Bombyx mori: one gene and its partner. Each later gene encodes a partner of the first gene's protein in a complex. Links are inferred from orthologs where the notes say so. Each region holds a gene or a part of one and is shown in the gene's direction. Other genes may lie near its edges.

Region 1 (3,567 bases):
ACAATGACTTACAGAACTTAACTGAATTCAACACAGCCCACAACAGAAGAATATCGATGCTTGGTATATCAACCGAAGATGGAACTGATGTTATCAAGGTGAATAGTATATTCTTGTAAAAAAGTGTATTTAACATTTTAATGTATATATTGCTGTAAATATGAAGATCGACTAGTGAGTCTTTCCATACATGGTTCCCAAAGTATTTTGTGGTTACCAAAATGATTGAGATGAAGTCCCAATTGTGTTCTGTAACAGTTGTTGCCACTTGAACGCATGATAGCTGTGCAGTGAAAATATAGTGGTGTCACCATCCACTATGTTCCTCTTAGTCCATGATACCCCCTTAGTATGATTAAAACAGTTCAGTAATTCAGACAAACATTTCTGTTATATATACCTAACCTATTATATAAGTAACTAGCAGTACCCGTCCACTTCGCTGGGAATTTAAAATTAATATTATTATTTCTCACCCCCACAAAGATTCTCATCATTAACGCCCCCGCAACTGGTGTAGGGAGTCCAACACTCATATAAATATTAGCCTATCCATTAAGTACATGTATTTTCTACGTGGATACCAAGTTTCAAGTTAATCGGATGCATGGTTCAGTAGTTATAACGGAACATCCGTAAAAACCACTGTAGATTTATATATTAGTATAGATACGACCTCTTAAATTTATCGAGAACATTCTGGGCAAGTCGAGTAGCTTCGATGTGTTTCCGGTATCTGACAATGATGGCGTTGTACTTCTCGATCTTTCTCGGCGTTACTAGTTCCTTTGATATACGTTTCGGCTATCCGGACGATAGATGGCGTTACTCTTACCGGCGTAACATTACTATCGTTTTTCAGCCGACAACCGGTACGAAGCGTACCGTTTCGATGCCGGTCGGTGTGCCGAAGAAGCAGAAAAGAAACGTGTCTTTCAACGAAGAAGTGGACATTATCAATCCCGAAGACATAGATCCGTCCATAGGCCGTTTCAGGAACTTGGTCAAGTCGACGATCGTGCCGAATGCGAACGCCGTACCTAAGAAGCTGAAGCTGCAGAGCGCCGAGGAAAGTAAGTCGTTCAAGTTATGGACTAGCTTGTCCTATACTATAATATTATAAAGAGGAAAAATTTGTTTGTTTGTTTGTCTTGAATAGGCTCCGAAACTACTGAACCGATTTGAAAAAATCTTTCACCGTTTGAAAGCTACACTATTCCCAAGTGACATAGGCTATAATCTTTTTTGAAAAAAATTTAGGTATCCTCACTAAAACCCCAATAATGTAATCCAAGGTGTAAAAAAAATACCTAAAATATTCTTTATATCGCGTGCTCTGCGAAAACTATTGATGATAGAATAAAAAAAATGTACTACGACTTTGTAGAACATATTATTATTTATAAAAAGTGTCGCGACAGCATATTATGTCTAACTATTATAATTATGCCGCAATAAGTGTTCTTTTATCTTAACAAAATGAAGCTTCAAATATCGTTGAAATTTTTGTTAAAGACCCGAGCGGAGCCGGAGCGGCCCGCCAGTCCTATATATACGTTAACACACTGACTGGCTGGTTGTCACCGGATAGTTGTCATACGATTCAATTGAGACCTCATGTCTTAAGGTGACAATATTCAGATTACGTCTATGAACTCTGGTCTCCCTTTAACATTTTGATTGCGATGTAGGTCACCGGTGCCCTACGCGGCGTACTGAAGTAATTATGTCGATTTCTATTAGTAAGCGCATCTGGATTGCCTAACTTTGCCTTCTTTTGTTTTTCTGGCCGTCTGGTGTAGTGGTACGTGACATGGTCACTACACAAGGGGGTCGCGGGTTCGAATCCCGCCAAGGGAAGATTTTTGTATGATAAATATAAAATGTATTTTCCTATGGATGTATATTAAAAAATATATATGTATAATAAAAATCTTACATTTATTTCCGTTATCTGGTACCTGTAACACAAGTTCTATATGAACTTAGTACGGGACCAGTGAACGTGGCGTGATTGTTTATAAAAAAAAAGTATGGTTTACTCTTTTAGGTCTCTAGAAATATATTCAGTCTCAGTATCTTAGGATTCGTCTTTGCCAGATTCTAACTAGATATTCCGGCGTCTTAGTAAGAAGATCGAAGAGAGAAATCGACATAATTACTACTTCAGTGCGCCGCGTAGGGCACCGGTGACCTACATCGCAATCAAAATGTTAAAGGAAGACCGGAGCCCATAGACGTAATCTGAATGTTGTCACCTTAAGACATGAGGTCTTAATTGTATCGTATAAGGACTTTCACGCCAGATGTACTGTTAAAAGTGAGACCTTAGAACTTATATCTCGAGGTGGGTGGCGGCGTTTACGTTGTAGATGTCTATGGAGTCCGGTAACCACTTAACACCAGGTGGGCCGTGAGCTTGTCCAACCATCTAAGCAATAAAAAAAGGATGGAGGAGGATGGAGCCACTAGAGGGCCAAAACTGAACTTAAATGGGCTCAGACAAAATGATTTTAATATTGACTTGTTAATATGTATTGCAGATCAACATCACCACTCGTTGAGGCTGCAGGAGATATCTCGGGGAGGGAATCTGTACTCGGATTTGCCCGCACCGAGCTCACATCTAAGTTTGATCGGGGCTAGGTATGTATTAATATTCATTATTGAGCAATGAGAAATTACCCCGATCTATTAACGGTGCTTTTAGGTACCACAAGCACCGGTCACCGTCCTCGCCGAACCTGTCGCATGCGACGAAGGGCTCGACGAGCGAATTAACCCATAGACACAGCCCACTGAGTTTCTCGCCGGATCTTCTCAGTGGGTCGCGTTTCCGATCCGGTGGTAGATTCTGCGAAGCACTGCTCTTACTGGGGCCAGTGTTAGCAACATTCCCGATTTGAGCCCCGTGAGCTCACCTACACACGTTTGGGTGAAGCTGAAATAGCCTATCAGCATAGGTAGGTTTTTTTTTTTTCGTTAATATTATATTGACATGATAAATTAGCTTGTATTCATAGATGCGATTTGTTAAAATAGTTTTGTAATTATAACCAAGAACATATTTGGTTTATAGTTTAATATTTAAACAACCGAATGTACTGCAATATTTATATATAATATGTATATATATATATTTCCATCCCAGAGCGCATGTTACGTCCTATATGGCGGTTTTTACCGATGATATTGCATCCGACCGACTTATTGCGTCCTGTATATGGACGCAAGATTGTCCATTTCTCAAATTCAGCCAGAGGTAGCCGAAAGATCCGTACAATGCGTGGGTAAAATATTGGCATGGACGTTATTTTGTCACCGGATTGATTCTCACCGTATTTCTTAGTTCCGCTGTTTGGCACGCGAATTTTGGAGGTCGCTTCTCCGCGGCGTATATCGGTAGCGTATATTGGATATTTTTTTTACGTAAATTTCACCGATAATGTGACTTCTGTATATAAAAAAATTTCAATTCAAGTTTTTATCAATTCCAATTTGTGGTTTAATTACGTCACACAAAATGACCCCGTTCCAAGAGAAACGCGGGAACAACAGGGGTGAGGG
Region 2 (4,186 bases), on another chromosome or scaffold:
ACGGCCCGATACTCTAACGAGCAATCTCGAAGCCACGCTGGCAAACCGGTACCTCCCTTTGGAGGGCGTTACTATGTAGTTGAAGTCGGGAACATAACAACTAGCGACAGGAAGATGCAAAAGTAGCACCGGCTCACTACTAACACAAGTAACACAGAGTACCACTGCACACGGTACGCCGGCAAACCATCGGTGCCATCGGGAGGCTCACTCTCTAAGTGGAGCACTCTTCATCAAATGAAGAGCATTGAGAGCACGGCCCTCCTACTCGACTTCGTGCTGGTTTTGGTCCGCATCGGTGCGATCATATCTCTGGGAATGATGACCAAAAGCTGCCATTATCCGCCTCTCACGGAGGCGCACGGTTGGAGACCAGCAACTCCCTTGGGTTTCATTACATCCTACGTATATTACTGTTGATTGGTCTTTAAAGTAGTTTATGGCGTACCTTGTATTGAGTGATATCAAAGCTAATAGAGATCAGAGTGAGAAAGCTATGAGATATACCTTGAGACATGAGGTAGAAATCTAAATTATGTTGTATAATGGTCATCTTACTCTTCAAACTGGAACGCATGACAGCTTGGCAGTGGATGAAATAACTACCTAATGTGAGCCCTCATAGGCACTATCTCAGTATTTAGGTCGCCAAGTAGTTCTACGTTCTGGTTTGTTAAATGAACGAATTGTTATATTCTACAATTAGCGGTAGGTGACCTCTCGTTGTAGATGTGTACTAGCTCTGGTAATCACTTTATTGAAGTTGGGCCTTGAGCTCGTTCAGACGTCTATGCAATAAATAAATGTAATTTTTCCTTTCATATAATGAATGTATCTAAGTAAATTTTTGTAATTTTACTGAGACTACAGTATATTTTAAAGCATCTTATTTAATTTAATTTCATCATAATTACAGTATAAAATAAATAAATTTCATCTCATTCTTCTCCAAATCATTATTCTCAAAGAGTAAAATTTATTTTAAGTATATTTTATCTAGAGATTTTTATTAACTCAACACTGGCAACAATGACATTGCAAGCAGTCATTCTTTAAAAAAGGGAAATAAGTTATCTATGGTAAAAAGATCAAACATAAATAATGAATATGGCAGATTCAGATTCTCAAGAAAATCGACAAGTCGAAGAAATTAAATTGAAATCTAAGAAGCCTAGAAATCTTCGTACGCGTATCAAAGATGAAGACTCTGATGATGAGGAGCACATTTTGCAAAGACTTCAAGAAACAAAAGAAATTCAGAAACTTCGAGAAAGACCTAATGGGGTGAGCATCATAGCCCTGGCAACCGGCGAGAAAGTAACGTTGGAAGATGAAATGACTTGTAAAGATCCTTTTAAAGTTAAAACTGGCGGGATGATTAACATGCAAGCCCTTAAGAACGGGAAACTGAAGCAGGTGGATGATGCGTATGATACCGGAATAGGCACACAATTTTCAGCGGAAACGAACAAACGCGACGAAGATGAGGAGATGATGAAGTACATCGAAGAACAACTTGCAAAAAGAAAAGGTTAGTTCTACTTGAAAATATTTAACGAGCTTCCAAACATAAAAATTTACATTTTGCTTAAACAGTGGACCCCCGGTAATCCTGCCGCTGTCTAATCTGGCACCCCTTGTAATCCGAAATGTCTATTATTATTGAATATTTTTTGACAGTCTTCGCTAATGTACTTAGATAATGCATGATTGAACAGGTTACAACTGGTATGCGCCATCACTATTGTACTAGACGCTTAGGTATTGTTTTGGTTTTGATAGGTTAGTTTGAATTCGACTACTGATAACAAATAGGCATGCGCCCATTTCAGGCTCCATCTTGACCATGAAAGCTTAAGTTTTTTAAAGTACTTAAATAAAATAAAAGATGCTTATGGCCAGCAAGGGGTGGCTAGAAAGTTTCAAAAGTCGTCATGGCATTCGTAAAGTATTTTTTGTAAGTTTTAAAGTATTACTGACGTTAATTTTATAATAAAACGTAAGGTTTCTCTTGTATTTTTTAATTTACTAAATTCAATATACATAATGAAGTATGATTTGCATTTCAGAATATAACATACAGAATCTTATTACTGGATCTGTAATTTATTGGATTATAAAGTACTCTTTTGTAAAAAAATCTGGACTAAAGGGGGTCTTAGGCAGTACTTGTATAATTCGACAAATGTAATAGGTAGTTTGACACTGCCTTACAAAACGTTTGTCGGATTACAGGGGGTCCACTGTAATTTAATGGTTTTTTATTTCAAGACTGAAATTTAAAATCAATCAATAAAATAGTATTTGCATTTTCCATATCACATCCTTGAGGTTCTGTCACATCATAATCAATTACTAATTTTATAGATCCATTACAAGATCATTAAATAAACAGTATCTACATGTTTTCCTAGAACTCATGTAAATTTGTTTTTTTTTTGTAGGTAGTGGTTGTGACCAGTGTCTAGATGGGATTATATGTATATTTTGATATTACTAATATTACTAACACCTAAGCATATATTACATTAAGCTGCATAAGCACTTATTTGCTAAACTATTCTCATGGTATTATGATAACAACACTCCCAAAAGTACCAATAACAACTATACCAAGTTTCATTGCATCTTGAATGGTTTATATAGGAAGAAGAAAAAAAAAAGAAGAAAAAAACAGACTTAATAAACTTGTTAATATTGCTGCTTAAATGAAAATCTAGTATCAATTATGTAAAATACCACTCACTAAGATTCTATATTTGGTCCGAATCTGTAAAAAATATTGTATTGTAAATACTGTAGTAAGTATATTATACACTCAATTGAATTGCACATACCCTACAGAGACACCCACATCCCAACTTAAACAACGTTTAGACATACATGCCTCTTAGAAATATCATGTATGCTTAAATGAAAATTATTGTTTTTACAGGTTGTATGATATTAAGATAGTATAAGTTAGTTGTTTTGTATCTTTGGGTGCAATATTTGGAGCAGGTTTTATGCATAAGTGTGAAGAGGGCTAACCTCTGTGATACTGTTTTTATTGACTGCAGATATTAATAATTTCTTTTGAAGTCGTCGTGGCCTAAAGGATAAGACGTCCGGTGCATTCGTGTGTAGCGATGCACCGGTGTTCGAATCCCGCAGGCGGGTACCAATTTTTCTAATGAAATACGTACTCAAGAAATGTTCACGATTGACTTCCACGGTGAAGGAATAACATCGTGTAATAAAAATCAAACCCGCAAAATTATAATTTGCGTAATCACTGGTGGTAGGACCTCTTGGGAGTCCGCACGGGTAGGTACCACCACCCCGCCTATTTCCGCCGTGAAGCAGTAATGCGTTTCGGTTCGAAGGGTGGGGTAGCCGTTGTAACTATACTGAGACCTTAGAACTTATATCTCATGGTGGGTGGCGCATTTACGTTGTAGATGTCTATGGGCTCCAGTAACCACTTAACACCAGGTGGGCTGTGAGCTCGTCCACCCATAAAAGCAATAAAAAAAAAAAAAAAAAAGCTTATTGATACTTTATATTTATATCACATCAAAATAATTAGTTGGAAGCATACCCATGAAAAAAAATGTGTGTTACATGCACATAACTTGGGTTACTCAGTAAATAAATGCACAAAGATATGTTGATTGGAAACTTGAAATGGTAAATAGATTGTATAGTTTGTTATTGGTGGTAGGACCTCTTGTGAGTCCGCGCAGGTAGGTACCACCACTCTGCCTATTTCTGCCGTGAAGCAGTAATGCGTTTCGGTTTGAAGGGTGAGGCAGCTGTTGTAACTATACTTGAGACCTTAGAACTTATATCTCAAGTTGGGTGGCGCATTTATGTTGTGGATGTCTATGGGCTCCAGTAACCACTTAACACCAGGTGGGCTGTGAGCATGTCCACCCATCGAAGCAATAAAAAATAAAAATTTAGGTCCCTACATAGCTGATAGTATTATTTATAATCGTTTAGATACTAATATAAAATTAACTTGTGCTTTGTAAATTCCAGAGGGATGTGACAAAGACAATAAAGACCACAACCATACAGAAACACTAAAGTATTTGTCTCCCGAGGAAGCAGCCTTACTTTCCTTGCCAGACCATTTGAGAGTCTCTTCAAATCAGAGGTCAGAAGAAATGCTTTCTAATCAGATGCTCAGTGGTATACCAGA

Evidence for each region. The genes of interacting proteins can lie anywhere in the genome.
Region 2: nuclear inhibitor of protein phosphatase 1 (region 1) and uncharacterized protein LOC778507 share a complex: the UniProt entries of both Homo sapiens proteins name them as parts of the spliceosome. The link is inferred for Bombyx mori from reciprocal best matches to the Homo sapiens genes PPP1R8 and C9orf78.

The regions. Positions count from the first base shown.
Region 1 is NC_085126.1:4,085,650-4,089,216, forward strand, and holds part of nuclear inhibitor of protein phosphatase 1, read left to right. Parts: intron 1-14; coding exon 15-98; intron 99-862; coding exon 863-1,073; intron 1,074-2,543; coding exon 2,544-2,646; intron 2,647-3,567. UniProt on the Homo sapiens protein: Inhibitor subunit of the major nuclear protein phosphatase-1 (PP-1). It has RNA-binding activity but does not cleave RNA and may target PP-1 to RNA-associated substrates. May also be involved in pre-mRNA splicing.
Region 2 is NC_085120.1:2,479,715-2,483,900, reverse strand, and holds the start of uncharacterized protein LOC778507, read left to right. Parts: upstream 1-1,335; coding exon 1,336-1,531; intron 1,532-4,023; coding exon 4,024-4,186. UniProt on the Homo sapiens protein: Plays a role in pre-mRNA splicing by promoting usage of the upstream 3'-splice site at alternative NAGNAG splice sites; these are sites featuring alternative acceptor motifs separated by only a few nucleotides. May also modulate exon inclusion events.